Medicago truncatula: one gene and its partner. The protein of the gene in region 2 interacts with the protein of the main gene of each other region in a pairwise test. Links are inferred from orthologs where the notes say so. Each region holds a gene or a part of one and is shown on either strand. Other genes may lie near its edges.

Region 1 (11,052 bases), on a different chromosome or scaffold from region 2:
TGATAAAGGAAGCACGTTCGTGTGAAGGTTGCGCATCAATAACATTGTTAACAGATGAGGTTGCAAATGAGGAAGTTGATATCTGAACTTGGGGCGCCATTGTTAGACATATTGCAATTCAATAACAAAAACTCAAACAACCGTACTTAATGCTCTACTAAAGAGGTTAAGAAATCCACAACTGGAGTACATGGTTCTTTTCTTAGTCTTCATCGTTTGAAAAAATATGGAATCACAATAGAGCAAATTAACTATACTTTGGCTAAATTTTTGCTACATCAATAATTATTATTCACTGTATAGTTGGATTTGGATGGAGATTTATTGAAACTGAAAGGGAGAGATCACGAGTTTGATATTCGTCACTGTTGAAAAACAGTTTGAATTGATCTCCAAAATAATTTGTTCAATTTCAATGCAATGCATTCCATCTACTAGTCATGTGCAAAAGACATTCTTTATATTTTAATATTTGTGGACTCATGTCTCTGTTTGTTTTCGTTAGGACAGGAATCACGACACATAAAATCATCACCTTGAACACTATTTCTCTCTTCAGTGAAATTTTATGTGAAAAGTTGAAAGTTTTTTCTAGCATTATAATTTCTTATAGATGAAAAAATTATTTGGTAAATAAATTATTATATGGAATTTTACTGTGGACCACTGAACTCATCATTAGAAGTTTCACTAACATACGAAAGGAGTTACTCAAAATACAGAAGATGTTATGTAGCATGGTAAACGCAAAACGGGGCACATGTAAAACAAGATATTCTTAAAACAACGGTAATAATAGGGGCCAGATGAAAATTGCTGTTCACACATGTTATAGGGTTGAAAAACACCAGTAAAATATCAAAATATCATTTCTGCAGTTAACTGTCGAAAAAAAATAAAACCAACTGCAGTTAACTACCGAGGAAATGAAAACCCAGAATTATCATCATCATCTTCTTCTTCTTCCTGTTATGAGTTTCACATAAGAACAAACTTTCAAACTTCAGGAAAACCCTCTTCTTCCTCCTCCTCTTCTTCATATAAAAAAAGACCAAAAAATTCAGAAAAACTAATATAAATTCACAATTAAAATTCTTTAATCAAATCTCTCTCTGCACAAAGTCTTACCGGTGAATCAAAACAAAAATGTAAATTCACGCAGCACTCACCCTCACCTCAAAGTGATTTTTGTTTTACTGGTGAATCAAAACATTGATTTATGGTGAATTTACGTTGGAAAACTTCTTTATGTACAAATTTATGGTGAATGAAAACTTCATTACCATTCAAATTAATGGTGAATTATGGGGATATAATATCACTACCACCATCAACAAATCTCTCTCTGCACAACGAAGAAGATGATGATGATAATTCTGGGTTTTCATTTTCCTCTGTAGTTAACTGCCGAGGTTTTCCTCGGAAGTTAAATGCAATCGATTTTATTTTTCCTCGACAGTTAACTACAGAGGGGGTATTTTGATATTTTACTGGTGTTTCTCAGCCCTATAACATATGTGAACAACAATTTTCGAGCCAGATTGTGTACAGTAACCAGCTTCACACAGTTTAATACAGTAAACAATTTCGACTACATAGTAAAATTTATTATAAATAAATGATCACATCCATCAGTTTGAGATCAAACTATCAAGATATGTTAGATCATCATGCAACTAACTAGAGTAATGTTATTTGAACATGATTAACATCTTATTTCAATATGAAATAAAAATAGGTTATTTATATCCATTGATGTGACTTGAAGAAATAATAAAAATAAACCACATGTTAAACAATAAAATTTATAATTTATATGTATATTGTGGACTCTTTAACACGGTGAATTTTAGGATGAGGGTCCAATTAGGTCCCTCACCGGTGGATCACGAAAAAAAATACCAATAGATTAAATAGATGGTTCATATTTATTAAAAGCAATAGTGAAAATATGTACAACTACTCACATTCAATCCTATCCTAAAATGATTCTAGTGTAGTTACAAATCGTGTTCTGATTCTTCCTCTATAATCAGTTACCACTCTTACACTCAAACCATCCAATATGTGAATCAAGTTATGAACCCTAAAATTAACTAATTTTTTCTTTTTCTTCAACAAATCTGTTAATTGCAATCCCATTAAATCTTCAGTCACGCAAGCGCTCTCATATATGGGAGAAAAATAAGTAATTGATTGAGAGTTCGTATAACATGAAATTTTGCATCAAGAAGGAATAAAAATACAATTAAAATTTGCGATGCATTCTTGTTGCTTTTGTGGCTTGTAATTCTTCAGTTCTGTATTATAGTTGGTTGATTAGAAGTTTGTTCAAGCAATTTTAAAGGAGTTAGATTGGTGCTTGTAGAGATTTTATTGATGGTGTATTTTCATGGTTTCACCCTATATTATAATTCTTCTTCCATGATACGACTCTTCGCTCAAATCATATCACACTCAAACCATGAAATTGAGTCTAAGTTATGAATCCTAAAATTAAATAATTTTCTTCTTCAACAAACGGCAATAATCCCCTTTTCAGTCCAAATCAGTGAATGATTTAATTTTATGAACTCTGAAGCATTTGTAATCACTCTAATGTCATAGTTCACTCTACTGGTTATGGACGGAGAATTATACAACAGACATTGGGGAAAACCATTAAAGGATAAGATTGAATGTGAATAGTTGTATATGTTCCTATTTTTAATTTGAATAAATCTGAAGCATGTATTTAATTCAACAGTGTTTTTTTTGTGGTCCATTAGTGAGGGACTTAATTGGATCCTCACCCTAGAATCCATCCTTTAACACACTACCTCACGCTCAACATTACACGGTTCGATGCATGGATATAAATGGTGGATGGTTCGATTGTAAAAATCTGATAGTAGGTGATCCAACAAGATCTTGGAGAGACTTTGATATTATCTTATAAATTGTGGTTGAGCTAACACAGCTTCACAAAATCGATTTAAAACGTGATGATTGCTTTCATTTATAAACTCATTGTCGGACCATCTTTTATTCAATATGAAACTCTTTAATTAAATGTTAATAGTAGATTAAATCATCGTATTAATATTATGGTAATTAAAAAAAAATTGTATAAAATAGCAATTTTATAACTGCAAACATGGTATAGAGAGAAAATTCAAAAAGTTACAGCAAGCCAAGCAAGTAGCTAAGGGCTATTCACAGTTCACACGTAGTACCAGTACCTTTTAGGCATTGATTTTGCTGCCACCTTTTCCGTAATGTGTCCGTTGCAGTGGTTGGTTTGACAAAATATGTTAATGGCACCAAATACTAAGCAATAAAATCAATTAAAAAAATAATCTGATTGAATGAAGTCAAGAGGAAAAAGCTGATTGGTGATGCCGTAGTTGAAAGCAAAATGTCAAACACTACGATTCACATTTTTTGGAACTGAGGTTTGACAGCTCCTTCCTTCTCCCTCCTCGTTTATAGTGACACTCCCTCCCTCCATATCTATCCCTTTTTTATGTCATTTTTTATTGCTCAATAATTCTTTTTCTAATAATAATTCCACAAATAATAGTAGTGTACTAATAGACATAATAATGCCAATTTTCAAGTGTCATTGTTTCCATATTTTCAATTTAAGCATTATCATATGATGGTGCTCCATGGGAACTTCAATAGATTATCTATTCCATAATATACATTGATTTAACATATTTTAACTATATTTTTCTATTAATTCACAGAAATAAATAATGTTATTATGTGAGATATTGTTGGATTCGTTTCGATGAATATTTTTAAAATATTAAATCTTCAAAACTTTTTTTAGTAGATAATTGAAGATATCAAAAATAAAACATATACATTGGTACATGTGTTGGACTCAACTAGGTCATCTAATGTAGGATGGATGGAGTATTATTTATTCAAGAAATACTAGCATGAGTAATTTGTTTTAGAGAAATGTTAACTGGTACCCCCAAGACACTAGTTAAAGAATCAAATATAATAAGTATTGTATTGGAATTTGTGCTGTCAACTCCTCAAAAACGTAAAATGTGTTATTTTCACTTTAAAACTTTCGTTTTTAATTTCCTTCCGACAAATGTTAAAGAATTTTTTCAAGTAATTTTGTTTCAAAAGTGGGTTACAAGCACATCAAGATTTCCATATAATCATTATCATATGATTAATTGCATTTTTAACAATGTCCACTGCTTCTAAAAAAAACTGTAACTATCGAAAATTGAAGAGATATAATTTTGACACACAAAAGGCCAACACCGAATAAAATATTGTTTGAGTTAATGTGTTTTTAGTCGAGGTCCGAGAAAATATTATATGAAAATCTAAATAATTTGTTCTAGAAAAATTAATTTGGAAATCATTATAGAAAAAAAGCAAAAATGGTTAACAACAGAAATTTAACTCTAGGTGTATTTTAAAAGTGGAAATCGGTGAACCCCTGAAGAAGTACTTTTGGACATTATTTCTCAGAAAAAGACTCTGACAATGGGTGGAGTATTTAATTTTATTGTGCAGATAAAAAAGCAGTATTTACTGGCAAGGAAGACAACGAAACCAAGATAGATCAGTGTTATTTTTAAGCCAGAACAGTCATTTCTGAATAATCAAAATGTGACAAATTTTCTTTTAAAAAAAAAAATGTGACAGTTTTTTAACAACGTATAAAAATAAAAATACATCTAAAACAATTGTTAACTTTTTTTTTTTTTAAGGAAAACAATTGTTAACTTGATTAGATAAGAAAGATAACATTTTAATCAAATTGACAATCGTATGTCTAGAAGTCCTAACTCAACTGGTAAATGCTGAAATTGCAAGGTCGGACGTCGTGACCTTGAGTTCGAACCTAAGATCTCACAGTTGTGTATGAGTTTAATTTCAATGAATTACCACTTCATCTAAGACCAAAAAAAATATTGACAATCGTATAAACATACGATGGCAGACAATGTTTGTAGTAATTTATAAGAATTAAATTTAATCATGACTATTAAAGAGCTTCTTCGTAGAGATTGGATGGTTAGTTTACGACATACATTGCGTGAGGGTAACGCTGCAGCTGATTTTCTAGTTAAAAAGGGTGCTCTCAGTGATAGTAGCCTTGTTATTTTGAATGAAGCCCCTCCTGATATGGCATGTGTCCTCTTAGCAGCTGCAATAGGTGTTGAGTTTGTTCGACCCTAGTATGGGTCTATTTTAGCTTCTCTGTTTTTTTTCCCTTTTGTTACCAAAAAATCAAAAGTCAAAACTTATATTTTTAACACAAATTTTCTATATATAATTTCCTTAATCATTGCTTTGATGGTAATGGTTAGCAGAACCCTGATTCTTTTTGTTTTTTTTTTTTTAAATTCACTTTGCACTTTAATGTGAATTTCTCACTTTTGAGTAGTCACATTCTATTTTGAAGTTGTATTCTCACATCTTATATGAATAAATGTGTATGATATATTCAAGGAAAGAGATACAAAATAATATAAAAGTCATAAACCGAATAGATTTACTCTATCTAAGATGAACCGTTCAAAAGAATCTAAATTTAATTTATGAATAGCGTAGAACAATTTTTGACCAAATTTTACCTATCTTTCAATCGAACTCAATCACTAAAACTTTCCTATCGTAAAAATTGGAAGATTAACACACACTCAAAAAAGAAAAGTGCAAACATGATAAGTTAATGTTAAATTTTGTGTAAAAAAACATATTTCATAAATGAGACAAGTTTTACAACTTGCATACGTTAGTTTTCATCTTTTGGATCAATAAACTTCACCATAGATAGAATACGAATTATTTATTTAATAGTGAAAATAACATATATATATATATATATATATATATATATAAATTATGCAAAATTATTTATCTGTTCATGTTAGACAAAACATGAAGATATTATGGAGTATCAAGTTTTCTTAGGATCATGAAAATGAAGAATTGAGCAGCATGTTTTTGATAAAAATAAAAATAAAAATTGGGTTGTACTATATGGCATGGCACTAATGCATGTGGTTGGACAAAATAATAATAATAATAATATGGTTAGCAAAATATAAATAAATAAAATAAAACAAAGTGCACAAAGACGAATAACTAGCCGCCGTGAGCAGTTTTGATTCATGTTCTTCTACCCAAGACACACTCCCTTTTTCTTTGTTTTGCACCCTCCCATGCAAGAGAGAGAGATTTATCAGAAACATCCAAAAGCCTAAAGGCATAGAGAACCGTGTTGCTAGAGAGAGAGAGAGAATCAAACTCAATTACTACTCCTATGAGAAGAGAATCCTTTAGCTACTGTCCCAATCTTCACAACGTTATCTCCTTGTAACTTTGGAACCAACAACACTACACACATGTATGTATTTGCCTCTTAAACCAACATTTCTTCTAGTATAGTACTACTATATGCCCCCCCCTTAATTATTTCATACTATTAATGCACTTGTACTAGTACTTTACACATTCATTTTCAACCCAACCCAACCCAACCAAATATTCATCTTGCTTTCTATCAATATGGCTGCTTGTGCTTTGTTCAATGGTGCTACTACTGATGAAACCAACAACAATAGTGCTTCAAACTCCAGCAATATCAGTAGTGAAGATTTACACACTCTACACAACAGCAACACCAACATGCCACAACAACAACAACCTCATTCTGATAGAAAAGTGCTTAGAAAAAGAATGGCTTCTGAAATGGAACTTCAACTTCAAGTCCACAACAACAACAATAGATTTTCTCGTAGAAACAACAACAACATTTCCTCATTGAATTGTTCTTTACCTTCTTCCACAGAAAAAGGTGTTACAACAACAACAACAACAACACTAGCCGCAGGTACAAATAATAATGCTAATAATAATAACTTTCATTATAATACTAATAATATAAACAATAGTAGTCATCATAGTAATGTTGCTTTGTCACGAGATAACGTTGCTGTTCAAAATTACCCCACTGTGACCGTCACAACCAACTACTCCACTATGTTGCTACCTTCTTCTTCCAACAATCTCAACAATTCCTCAACCTCAAACTACGCTCATTTTCAACAACCACTTGTTGAGGAACAAAACCATGTTCCTAATATTTGTGGTTTTTCTGGTTTACCACTTTTTCCATCTCAAAACCAACCCAACAGAACCAGCAACAGAAACAGTAACAGTAACATAAGTTCTGCTACTAATATTGTTGATGTTGTTAACTCTTCTACACCTTCTATGATGGACGAAACATCAGCTACAACAAACTGGATTGATGGTATTTTGAAGGATCTTATTCATACTTCAAACAGTGTTTCTATTCCTCAACTTATCAACAATGTTAGAGAGATTATATATCCTTGTAATCCAAACCTTGCTCTTGTTCTTGAACATAGGTTACGTCTTCTTACAGAAACTGCTCCAAGTGTTGTTCCTGAGAGAAAAAGAAACAACACTGAACAACAAAGTGTTTCTAATGTTAATGTTTTACCTGCTTCTAATGTTAATTCCTCAGTCAAACTCATGAACCGTGTTGATGACATTGTTCCACATTTTTCTGATTCATCAACTCTTTTGAATCAAAATCAAAACATGTTTCCTAATTGGGGTGTGCCACAAATCAATAACAACAATAACCCTTTGGTTACTTTACCTTCACAACCACAATCAACACAACAAGATCAACATCAACATCAACAACATCAAGAGCATCAAGAAGATCTTGTACCTGCAACAACACCACCACCACCAACTTCTGCTGAGTTAGCAATAACAAGAAAAAAGAAAGAGGAGATTAAAGAACAGAAGAAGAAAGATGAAGAAGGTTTACACCTTCTAACATTACTTCTTCAATGTGCAGAAGCAGTATCAGCAGAGAATCTTGAACAAGCAAATAAGATGTTACTCGAAATTTCGCAGCTTTCTACGCCTTTCGGGACCTCGGCACAAAGAGTAGCAGCTTATTTCTCAGAAGCAATTTCAGCAAGACTAGTGAGTTCATGTTTAGGAATCTATGCAACACTTCCACCACACACACTACATAATCAAAAAGTTGCTTCAGCTTTTCAAGTCTTCAATGGTATTAGTCCATTTGTGAAATTCTCTCATTTCACTGCTAACCAAGCTATACAAGAAGCTTTTGATAGAGAAGAAAGAGTTCACATCATAGATCTTGATATCATGCAAGGTTTACAATGGCCTGGTCTTTTTCATATCCTTGCTTCAAGACCAGGTGGACCTCCTTATGTGAGACTCACTGGATTAGGTACTTCCATGGAAACCCTTGAAGCTACTGGTAAACGTTTGTCTGATTTTGCATCTAAACTTGGTCTTCCTTTTGAGTTCTTTCCTGTTGCTGAGAAAGTTGGAAATATTGATGTTGAGAAGCTTAATGTTAGTAAATCAGAAGCTGTTGCTGTTCATTGGTTGCAACATTCTCTATATGATGTTACTGGTTCAGATACAAACACTTTATGGCTCTTGCAAAGGTTGGTAATGGTAATAAAAGTTTAGGTGCATATACTCTGCATGAAATGTTGTTATAGTTTGTTATTGTTACTCTTTTCCATTTCTTGTTGGTTTTGTATATATAATCTACATGATTTAGTGGTAGCTGATATAGAAAAATAGCACTTTTTCATGAAAGATTTCCCAAAACTTTATGCTTTTTATTACCTTTATAGACTATAGTGCTCACTTTATGTCTACCTTTTTTCTCTTCTAAAGGTAAAATTGGAAGCTATGATTATGTCTTTGTGTAAATTAATAGATAGAAACAAAAATAACTATTTGTTATTAAGATGATGTTTATAGTAAGTTTTTAAGGACATAGCTCTCATGTATGATTGTTATCACAATTTACAAACATGGCATTAATATCTCTATAGTTTCTAATTCAACATTGGATTTGCATGGGATTGTTATTCTGGTTATGTGTTTATCTATCTTTGTCTCTCTTACTTTTTATCTTTTACCAGTTACGCACATTTAAAAAATACAAGGACATCGTCAAAAAATCATTTATCTTTTTGTTATATGTAGGTTGGCACCTAAAGTGGTAACAGTAGTGGAACAAGACTTGAGCAATGCAGGCTCATTCTTGGGAAGGTTTGTGGAAGCAATACATTACTACTCAGCATTATTTGATTCTCTTGGTTCAAGCTATGGAGAAGAGAGTGAAGAGAGACATGTGGTGGAGCAGCAACTATTATCAAGAGAGATTCGTAACGTACTTGCAGTTGGTGGACCATCAAGGAGTGGTGAGATAAAGTTTCATAATTGGAGAGAAAAGCTTCAACAGTGTGGTTTTAGAGGTATCTCTTTGGCTGGTAATGCAGCTACACAAGCTAGTCTTCTTCTTGGCATGTTCCCTTCTGAAGGGTATACTTTGGTTGAGGATAATGGTATCCTTAAACTTGGTTGGAAAGATCTTTGTTTGCTTACTGCTTCTGCTTGGAGACCTCCCTTTCATACCAACAATATCATACCACATCATAACTGATGGAACTAATCAATCTCGTCATTGATTTAATATCGAACGACTCAGTACCTCCATGACATAGTTACTGCAGGGAATCTAATCTCTGCTTAGTTAGGAATGAAAATAGATTCCCCGCAGTCACTGGTCATGTAGTAATGATTTTGATGGTTGATGAAGATCGGACGGTTGAAATTGATTTACCAAAGTTATAATGTGAGTCGTCTGATTTATATCTCATGGATGAAGATTGGATGGTTGAGATTGATTTACCAAAGTTAAAATGTGAGTCGTCTGATCTGTATCTCATGACTTGCACTAGCTTAGTCCCTGTTGATGGCCTTTTGATTTGCATATTATAATCCTTTGTAGCATCCCTATGTTCCTTTAATCAAAATTTAAGAGATATTATTAGGTGTTTAGGAAGCATGTGATATTTCTTGCTGCCAAATGTGTACCGCTTCAGTGATGACACAAAAATGTACGAGTTAATAATAGAAGAGAGGGATGATAATATGGCTGAAGAGGTACACATTTAATATGATAGTATTTTGTTTTATTAAGAGAACTCATAAGCATGCTATTGTGATATTTCATACCTTTATGGGTACCAAATTATATATACCTTTACTATGTGTTTTATAATGCGGTGACAAAACAGAGTCATGCATGCATGAGAGTAGCTCTAGTAACCATCACATTTATTTTAAATTGGACATTACATTTTTATCTAAAATTTTAAGGCATGGATACAAGTCTTCTCACTTATTGCTCAACTTCTAAGTTATCATTGAATGATGACCTTTTTACTCAAACTTATCATACCAACATAAAAATTAATTTTGAACGAATGCATTTTGTAAATTCGCTTTTAGTTAAAAGTGAGTGAGTTTGAAGTCATTTTTATTTGAATAAACTTATGTAAAAGTGGGTTGAATAATAAATGTAAAATAAGATTTATTCACTTAAAAAAGAGTAGGACAACTAAAAAACACGTTTAAAATTAGAAAGTTAGAAACAATTCAAAAGTCAGTATATCAATTCTTCTTAAACACACCCTAAAAATACCAAAATGGATTATACACCTCTAAATTAAATTTTAGCTCATGTGAAAGTGAAATGATACACACATTTTGATTAGTGGTTGGAATTGCTACGTAGCAATGGGCTGAACTATACGGATCATACAAAAATTTCACTATCTCTTGGAAACAGACACTTGAAAAGATTCAGATATCTCCGCAGAGTAATGTCACGAGTCATGATAAATAATTTTTTTTTGTACAGTTTTCGTACATATTTAATTTAATGGAGTTATACGGTATTGGATCGACATTTTCACCGACGGATATGAAGTCTCCAAAGCATAAGGTGTACTAAGAAGGCCCCTAATAATTACAACCTGTCATTATTACAAAAAACGATTAGCCAATGTCCAAACACAACAATGAGTTTGACCACCATGAACTAAAGCCATAAACAAAGTTGATGTTACCGGCTTTAATCCACCATAAAGAATAGTGTTTTACTTTATCTAAAAATTGATCTATGGAAGTTTCTACATTTTTGAA
Region 2 (10,080 bases):
GACAACGACACCACAGAATTACATAAATTATATGAAAACAGGGGAAACATGACTTAAAAATTTAAAATTATAAAAGAGAATCATTTACCAGGCAAAGTCTCAGGCTTAGGCAAGGAAGGCACAGGAGGCAGTCCTCCACAAGAGAAGTTAATTTGCATTGCAATTTCATCTAATGATGGCATTGGTTCGGCTAACATACCAAGCCGATTGATTTCTGCAGAAAGGGCAGGTCTAGCGACTGCTAATGAATTATACATCGAAGAACCTTTTTCCCATACCAAGCTCTCCAAAAGCCGTTCCTCCAATGAATTAAGATGTCGCCTCAATTCTCTTGGGAGAGATTCTTCATATCTAATGAAACTTTCTATCACCTTGCTAAGATCAAAAGCTGTTATTCCAGTCCTCTCCAGTACAGCAGGAAACAACATTGTCACAGTCTTGTGAGTAGCCAGGACTAATTCTGCAGAACATGCAAGCATACACCTATGGAACCTCTCATTAGTGAGCAGTGAAGTTAAATTGTTGCCAAGTATTTGAGCTTCTGCTCGGCACATTGTTGCCAACAACCTATAGTATAACTTCATGGCTTCTAATCTTCGTTGTTCGGCCCATATATTGTCCATGAGATTAGCACTTTGCAGGCTTCCAGTTACACATCGGTCGCCAAGGGGACTACTAGGAAATATAGCTTGTAATATAATCTGTGCTCTGCGTACTACCTCACTAGTAATATCTCTGTCGCATGAAGTCAAGAATCGCTCTAGCTCTTGTGACGGCTTTGATGGAAGTGGAGAAATGACAGTTCGAAGCCACTTTGCAGTAGTCATTGCTGTGCTTACAGGGGTGGCAGCAATCTTTGAATTTGCGCTACCTGGAATGCCATTAGCATGGGATGCAGGAGAGCGCTGGGGTGAAAGTGGACTTGTAATGGTCTTGGCGGGTGACATCATCAAATCATATTTCCTCTACAGAACACAATTAATAGATTATTTTAGGTATTATCTTCACAAGACGGAACAAGAAATTTAGAAGAAATTTTTAATGAGACATACCTTTACACCTCCTGCTGAAACTGAAGAACCTCCAGACAAACTTCCTGAAGCTAGCAGGCTGTCATCCTCATTAATGAATAACCTTTCATCCAGTTCACCCTTGTTGCGAGTCATTTGATCATAATCATTTTCTAAGATATTCAAACTAGACGCCAGAGATGATTCCTCCATGAGATCTTTAAAATAAGTCAAACCATCTACAAAGTGTAAACAACAGTTAGAGATATCATATGTTGGAATCCTGATGCATAGAATGATAAAAGGGCAAAGGAAAGTAAACCTTTATCAAAATCCTCTAGGTTTTCAGTTTCACATTCAGATGCCAAACAGGGCGTCTTCTTCAATATATCTGCTACTAAATTATTGGCTTGCTCCATGGTTTTCCTCAACTCATCTTCTGAAGTGTTATATATGTTGCAAAGTGAAGCAAGGAGGTCCACACCTTTACTGCTTTTCTTAACTGCAAGAAATTTTGAATGGACTTAAATTAAAATTAATCCACATTTAAGCCCACCACTGAAATACCTTATAATTATAATTAAATGTGTATGTGTGCAAATACCATGTCCCTAAGATACAGAACAATAACAGTATAATATCAAAATGCAGGAAGGTGTAACAAAGAAATTACCAAAGCGTGCAGAGTCGTGAATGTTGAAATTCCGAAAACGAGCCGGAACATGAATAATTAGGATAGCCTGTAACAGATACACCAAGAACAATAAGAAATTGTTTCCTTCACCTCAAAAGTATTACAACCAGAAAAAAATGGAAAAATTGAATTTATCTATGTACATTAAAAATATCAATGCTCAAACAATTATTTTCAAGTGTGCAAAATTTCAGCAGTGAAACAGACACCAATAATTGAATTTATACTCATTTTTATGTGAACAGAAAAAAAATATATGAAACCACTTCATGGATATTCCATTAATGAAAAAGACTAAAAGACTGCAAAAGAATCTAACTGACCATGATAGAAATTAAACCATTGGTGCAAGTCACCAAGTCTTTAAAACGGCTGAAAGCATGTACACGAAGGGCCAAGAAAAGTAACCATCCAAAACGATGGCACTCAGATACACGGCCCGTAACAGACGACTTATTTTCAACATTTGCATCAGTTGACACGAAGAACTCTTCAAATACACGCTTATAATACCTGGCACAATCAAAGTCGTAAGATGTAAAGCAAACTATAATCAAAGCAAGCAACCTTATACTGCAAAAAAAAACATAAAAAATACTGGGCTACTCACTTGCTAAGAATCTTCAGGTGAATAGTGTTAGCATGCATCTCTTTTGCCTAATATAAACATAGCAACATAAAATATTAGCTAAGTATATAACTGATTTGAAGGATTTAAAAGTATATAATCACAATTAACTTGGCAAAAATACAATCGTGATTCTCAGACTAGTCAATACCTCAAGCTTGTTTTCCCAATCAGAGCCGAATCGATTGCTTAAAATTGGACCAGCTTTGACAACAAACTGAGGAAGTTCTTTAAAAAAATCTGCAATGCTGTTCAATACAAGATAAACATACCAGTTAATAAAAGACCAAACTACAAACTTTGATACTAGATAAAGGTCAGAAAAATACTTAAGCTTTGCTGCTCTCAATATTCGACACAAGGTAAGACCGGTATTCTCAATCTCTTCTTTTTCACTTTCCTCATTTTTCTGAGTCAGCCTCTTGATAGAGTATAAAATAAAAGCAAACCAGTACCGCTCTGCTTCTTCTATCTGAAAATATTTATAAACCTCATGAATTCAAATAAAAACTTCAATGACAAATGGATTTCATACTAGAGAGTTGTGTGCATACGTACCGTTCCATTTCCCATTGATGAAACATTTGCCATGAGAAGATGTTTGGTTTCTCCAAACAGATCCATTGCTTCTTTACAGCTTTTCTCATCCAATGCTAGCTCATTCTGCAACAAAAGAGAGAGTTAAAATATATAAAAATTATCCTGTCACAAAAATATTATATTATCTCGTAGGATTGTTTTCCTATCTTGCAGTGTCTCTCGATATTAGTTTCCCATTTTACTTGGATATTATCATAATTTGTTTCCCTATTTAATTAGGATTTGGAATCTTTGGATAGTATAAATAAGGGTTAGTACTTAATATTTTTGTATCATCAACCACAAGCACATTTTTAAGTCATCTTCACTATCTGTCTAAAAGACTGTCAATTAAACAGAGCCAATCAATGTATAATTTAATGAATAAAAAACCTCAGTTTAAAACTCATTAGATCTGTCTAAACACAAGTAATAACCATACATGTACATTTATCCTATTTGGTGTCTGGCATACACATAGAAAATTGTTGTGCAACAGAGGATACAGCAGAGCATAGCCATAATGAGAAGGTATGGCAAGTAAATGGAGTGAGTTGACCGAAAATAATGCAAGCTTCCAAACACATGTGGCTTAGTGACAGGACTTGGCGAAAAAATGAAGGGCTGGGGTGTGAAGGGATAGCCAACGCTTAATTGGGCAGCATGACTTTCCTTCGTAATCCATCCGTTATTTGAAATAAGCTAAGAGTTTCATGTTTCAAACAACAGATGCAATTAGTAATGCTACTCACAACTATTGATTTGTACCATAAACTCTTTCTGGAACAAATTAATAATGAATAGGTAACCGATGTCAAACTCCCCTCCCAATAACACAAAAGAACCGGAAACGACAGATCAATTAATAATAGTGATCCTAAAAGAAAGACTCCCAACAAATCAATGCAGACCGATTAATCACAAAGTGAAAACGCCCGACCACACAATTTTTCAACCACATTAACCGACAGTACATGACAGATCAATAAATCGGACAAACTTTTCTGAATTTAAACATTCATTTCCGCTAAATTAATGACCTAGGAAGGGTTGCTGATCTGCTAAATTGATGACCTTGGAAGGGTTGGTGATTAATTGCTCCCTAAGTTTTCTCCATCACATACTATCACCAAAACATGTCTGATTAATTTAACCAAGTCAAAAAGGAATAATAAAAAACTCAACTTTATCATACACCAAAATGTAAAAAATGCCTCAAATCACAAAAAAAAAAGGGTTAATTAAGTTTTTAGTCCCTATAAATATTTAAAATTTTGTTTTTAGTCCTTACAAAATAAAATCACACTTTTTAATCCCTAAAAATTTTTCATCAACATTTTTAGTCCTTATAAAATTTTTCATAAGCATTTTTAGTCCCTATAAAATTTTTCCATCAGCATTTTTAGTCCCTAAAATGCTTAAGGAAAATGTCACAGGGACTAAAAAGTGTGATTTTATTTTGTAGGGACTAAAAACAAAACTGTGAATATTTATAGGGACTAAAAACTTAATTAACCCAAAAAAAAAATCTATGCACCTATCTTTCCGTGAAGATCGATCGATTAATCAATAAAACATTTTAACATGCATTTTATCTCTCAATAATAATTCAATTTAGGGTTTACAAACAAAAAGAACAAATTTCATTTCACTTCTTCAAATCACAAACGAACCCTACAAACTAAAAAACTTAAAGATCAAAACTTTATAAACATAATTCACAAACAGTATCAGCTCAAACAAAATAAAAACACAACACCAAAAAAAACATTAATTAAACTAATTTCACATCAAAAAACTGACCCAGAAAACGAAAAATGAAAATTAAAACAAAGCAATCACCTTTGAAAACTCAGCAAAACGAGAAACAGCTTGGTCACCATTTTCGACAACAGAAAGCTTAGTATCTTCCATCTCCGTTTCAGCTGAAGGACTCATGAAAGAACCCTAATTCACACAGATCGAGTGAGTAGAAACCCTAATTCGAGCGAAAATTGGGTGAATTTTGACAAGGAATCGCAATTTAGGTGTGAAATTGAGAAACCCTAGGATGAAGGAAAGGGGGGAATAAGAACAGAGAAATCTCAGAAACTCACGAAAAGAGAATAAACATATTAATTTTATTTAATAATAATGTTTTTTTATTATTAAAAAAAGGTTAAGATTGTGTTTTGGCGCCACATATGTTATGTCCTACAGGTTTTTCCCGCCTAATGTAAGGCTGATGTGGATTAGGGGTATGATAGGGATTTTGTGTTGTTTGACTGGGTTTTTTGTCTCTCTATGTTTTTTACTATGTTTCGTTTTCTTACCTTAGTATATGGTTTTTTCGTTCCCAACAAAAAGTAATTTATAAAGTAGGGTTAAATATGTTTTTGGTCCCTATAAATATGTCAATTTTTCGTTTTAGTCCCTCTAAAATTTTCCTTCAACATTTAATCCCTATAAAATTTTCAATCACTATTTTTGGTCCTTATTTTAAATTTAATTTTTGTATTTTTTAATAAAATTTGGAAGAAATGTGTAAAATATTCTAAAAAAAATTCCTAAAAAAAGTTAGAATTTTTTAACAAAACACAAATTAAATATAAATTTTTAACCGTAAAAAATATAAAAATTCATATTAAATTCACGTTTTGTTAAAAAATTCTCAAATTTTTTTGAAGTGGTTCTTATAATATTTCGAATTTTCCTGGAAAATTTTATTAAATAATATGAATTCTACATATGATTTTACTTTAAAGAGGGACCAAAAGTGAAGATTGAAAATTTTATAGGGACTAAATGTTGAAGGAAAATTTTGGGAGGACTAAAACGAAAAGTTTACATATTTATAGAGACCAAAAACATACTTAACCCTATAAAGTATCTAAAAATGTGAAAAAAAAAAGTATCTAAAAATATGAAAAAATAAATAAATTACACTAACGCTACCTCTCGAACAAGTGGTTGTAGTTTTTCTTGCTGGTTCTCTCTTCTATTTTTTTATTGAGGGTCTAAAATTGTCGTTCTTTATTTCACTCTCTCTTTTAATTTAAATAAATGGTTTTTAGATAAAAATAAAAAATTTATTTTGTCGTCCTAGTGCATCGTTTCTTTCTTTGTTCATCGTTTTTGTGCAGCGTTGGCTAATTTCCCATTTTGGTAAGTTGTTTGTTTGGTTTGACATGACTAGCCAACTTTAATCTATCAATGTTCAATTAAATGATCATCACTTAAACTTAAACGTTGCATATCTGAATGCATGAGTATTTCAGTCACTTTGATTTTGTCACATTAATTGTATTTACTTTGTCATTTTAAAAGTTGTTAGTTTGTTTGCAGATTAATACTTTTCGCTTTTATTAATTTTGAATTTTAATCCATTCTTTTTGTTTTTTTTAAAGGAATTTTAATCCATTCTTATATACTCTACTAATTTGAATAAATGAATATAGTTTATTTTAGTAAAAAAAGAAATGTTAAAAATAAAATATGTGGTTCAACATAATTAAGTGATAATTTTTAGAGAGAAAGTATCTTCTAATTTAATTTCTTGTTTTTGTAACTCCTAGTATTTGATTTCTATCCATGTTTGTTTTTTTAATAAACGGTATTTAATCTATTATGACTTGAATTCATTGATTTATTTATTGCTTATTGATGAGCTACTAATACACTATACTCACTTTTGGCACGGTTTCGTAAAAATCACTTTAAATATAAGTGAGGATTATTCTACTATTACATGAATTGAATAGATTTCCTTAAAAATATGAATTAAATAGATTTGAGAGGTGGGGGCTCTGTTAGCGCAACTATTGTTTCTTACCATGCAAACAATTTGTATAAAGAATGGTTGAAAAAGATATAAATGATGAAATTAAGAGAGAAAGTATTTTTATTGTACCAATTCTCATTTGTGAATGAAAAAATGTGACTGCAACCTATTTATATTGGTTATTTGTTAGTTAAGTAACAAATTCAACTAACTAATTAATTAACCATGTAACTAAAAAGTGTTGACCCATTTTATGATTAGATGGGAGATAATGTGCACGTATGTAAAGAGTTAATTAAGGAAAAAGATAAACGACACAATTAAGTAAATTATACTAGTTCACTTCATAATCTGAAGTTAGTCCAATTCTCTCGCACTTTCGAGAAATTTCATTATAATCCAACATATTATAATAATAAACACTAAGACTACATATAATTTAAAAAATCTTTCAATAATTTTGATTATAATAGCTACAACAATTAATTAATTTCTAATGATCAGCAATTAACTCAAAATATCAATAAGGTCTAACGCTTCCAAACAACGAGCACGAGTAACACTAGAAGAGTGATAGCGAAGTTAACAATAAACACTACTTCATTGTTTCATTTTTTTTTACTTTTTATACCAATTTCAACAATAGAATAAGTCCTCAAAGATACAAAAGTAGAAAAGAAATAAATACACGAAAAAACATTACGACCGAGAATTAGGATTAAACATGTCAAAGGAATGCTTTGTTTGAGAGTTTGGAACAGAGGGAAAATGAGCGCTTTGGGAGTGGGAAATATATAGGAAAATAAAAAATCTTTCATATTTTTTGAAAGAATAATTTTTTAGAGAATGATAAATTAACACTTATGATTAATATACTTATAATTTTAAGAATATTATAACAACATAGATTTAATTTGAAAAATTCATATAATCCCTCCAAAAACCCTCCTCTAGTATAATTTTGAGTTCCTTGGATTGAGGGGTATTTGATATTATGAATAAAAAAATTAACCCCCAAACTCTATCATCCCAATGTCTTTTATTTCTCCTTCCTTTTTTTCAAAACCCTTCCCTCCCCTCCAAACTCCCAAACAAAGTCTAAGTCTTTAACCATAGATAATTTTGCAAGTTTGTAAATTTTTTGAATTGAAAAACAACCAATAAATTTCGAATTTTAATTCATATAGACCGATAATATAAAATATTTTTACACATGCATTCAATCATATTAATTAAAATTAGTAGAGGTATTAAGAATTAGCTTAAAAAATATTACTTGTCTATATGATTAGATACGATTATAACATAGTGCTTCGAAATTAATCTTATTTGTTTAATGATATGAAATTTTTTAATAAATTTAATTTATACATTATTGGTGTAAACAATTTTTACACCTTGAATTGATAATAATTGATAGACCATTGATTACGTTTAGTTTTACTCCTATCTATTTTAAATATTACACACATAATTGGTTGTAATTTGCTGAGGTACACAATTTTTTACACTATTTATGTATGAAGATTATATCAGAAATTTACTCTAATAATTTATAAGATTAATTTTTATGCACTCTTAGTGTGGTTTATCTTACACACGTCTTCAATCAAATTGCACAAAATATCGTTGTTATAGTGGAGGAGGCCTAGGAGGAGGAGAGTCTTTTGGAGTGTGGGGTGTTGTTGCATACTATTATTTTGTAGGATAATGTTCATGAGAGGTGGCGTTGGCTTCTTGACCCTATTGCTGGCTACTCTGTTAGAGGAACTTACCATTACTTCACAAAGGAAACCGATCATCCTGATTGTGGTCTGTTTGACGATGTGTGGCATAGACAGGTTCCGTTAAAAGTCTCTTTGTTTGCTTGGAGACTTCTCTGTGATCGTCTTCCGACTAAAGATAACTTGGTGCGGCGACAAATACTTTAGCTTGACGACAATATGTTTGTGAAGGGGGTGTGGGTCTCTAGAGACTACAAATCACTTGTCCTTTAGCTGCAACACTTTAAGTAGCGTGTGGTTTTTGGTTCTCCGGTGGCTCGACATCTCCTGCATCGCTCCTTTTGAGGCTCGTGATCATCTCCTTCAGTTCGGGCATCTTGCTGGATTACCAAGTTCTTCTCATTCATTCCTTCGGATGATCTGGCTAGCTTGCGTTTGGGTTATCTGAAAGGAGTGTGACAATAGAGTTTTTAATCACAAGTTTTTGGATTCCCACTGCATGGCGGACAAGGTTAAACGGCAATCGTACTTTTGGCTTAAATCCAATATGCAGGCTTTTATTTTCAGCATCCATGAGTGGTTGCAGCACCCTTTATCATGCATGAGTGTTTTGATGTAATGTTATTATTATTATTGTTTTCTTCATTGCGTTGTTCCTTTTTCAGGGACCCATGACCTGACTTTGTAACTGTTTTCGCTGTTTCTCTTTGCACATCTTATGCCAGATAAAACACTTTTGGTAATGTTATTTTCCATTTTGGCTTGTTAAAAAAAAATAAAAAATCATTGGTTATAGATTGATTCCTAATTAAAATATATCCACATGATTTGAGTGTAAACAAGGAATCATTATTTGCAATCATTATTCGGTTGATCCTGATATGTTTCACTAGTAATGCTAAGATACTCTTTAGTCTAAACAAGGAATCTACAATGTGCTAGAGATACATATTTGCAATGGTTAATTTCTACCAATAATTTTAGAAGCTTGTAATTTCCACAACAAGACCATAGTTCAATAATGTTTTTCTGAAGAAGCATAGTTGAATAATGTTAATGCTTGGTAGACCAACTTTGATTTTATCCTTGAGGATGTGCTATTATTCTGATCATTCTATTTCACCAAATGCTTAGCAAAGGACTTTAGGTTTGTGAAAGAACAAAGATTCTCAAAACAAAGATTCTATTTCACCAACACTCAGAGGATTTCACCCTTGAAAGAACAAAGCAATAATCAGAATCAAGATTCTCAGAAACCTACTCGGTTCTGAAGAGCTATAAGTACTGCAATACAAAGATTGATTGAAGTGGTAGGCCTATAATCTTGATATGTGCCCACAGGATGGAAAATGCATCGCAGCTTTGTTGCAACCACCTTTTTATCGTAACAACATTTATTAAACTAATTTTGGTATCCTTAACCATACATCGCACGGGTCGCTATCTAGTGTAATAACCAACCATGCACAAATGAAAAAGTCTAGTGTCTCCCAAAGTACACACCTGAAAATATAGCAAGGTGCTAGCATGTAAAAATGTTGGTGATAGTTAACAAGCAAAGCGCAGTGTGATGCCATTGTGCGCAGCAGCAATATTTGCAGTCGTAATTGCGGATCCAGACCATAATTTAAATCCATGATACAATCCATAGCAAAAACAATCAACAGTCAATCACATGAAAATAT

What was found.
Region 1: the proteins of retinoblastoma-related protein (region 2) and protein SCARECROW interact in binary tests that used the Arabidopsis thaliana proteins (3 or more experiments, as listed by UniProt). The link is inferred for Medicago truncatula from reciprocal best matches to the Arabidopsis thaliana genes RBR1 and SCR.

What each region holds. Positions count from the first base shown.
Region 1 is NC_053048.1:34,592,378-34,603,429, reverse strand, and holds protein SCARECROW, read left to right. Parts: upstream 1-6,141; 5' UTR 6,142-6,534; coding exon 6,535-8,492; intron 8,493-9,045; coding exon 9,046-9,505; 3' UTR 9,506-10,126; downstream 10,127-11,052. UniProt on the Arabidopsis thaliana protein: Transcription factor required for quiescent center cells specification and maintenance of surrounding stem cells, and for the asymmetric cell division involved in radial pattern formation in roots.
Region 2 is NC_053049.1:15,474,648-15,484,727, forward strand, and holds the start of retinoblastoma-related protein, read right to left. Parts: upstream 5,028-10,080; 5' UTR 4,850-5,027; coding exon 4,754-4,849; intron 2,996-4,753; coding exon 2,891-2,995; intron 2,805-2,890; coding exon 2,662-2,804; intron 2,581-2,661; coding exon 2,484-2,580; intron 2,362-2,483; coding exon 2,315-2,361; intron 2,218-2,314; coding exon 2,028-2,217; intron 1,751-2,027; coding exon 1,684-1,750; intron 1,513-1,683; coding exon 1,333-1,512; intron 1,250-1,332; coding exon 1,053-1,249; intron 966-1,052; coding exon 89-965; intron 1-88. UniProt on the Arabidopsis thaliana protein: Key regulator of entry into cell division. Acts as a transcription repressor of E2F target genes, whose activity is required for progress from the G1 to the S phase of the cell cycle.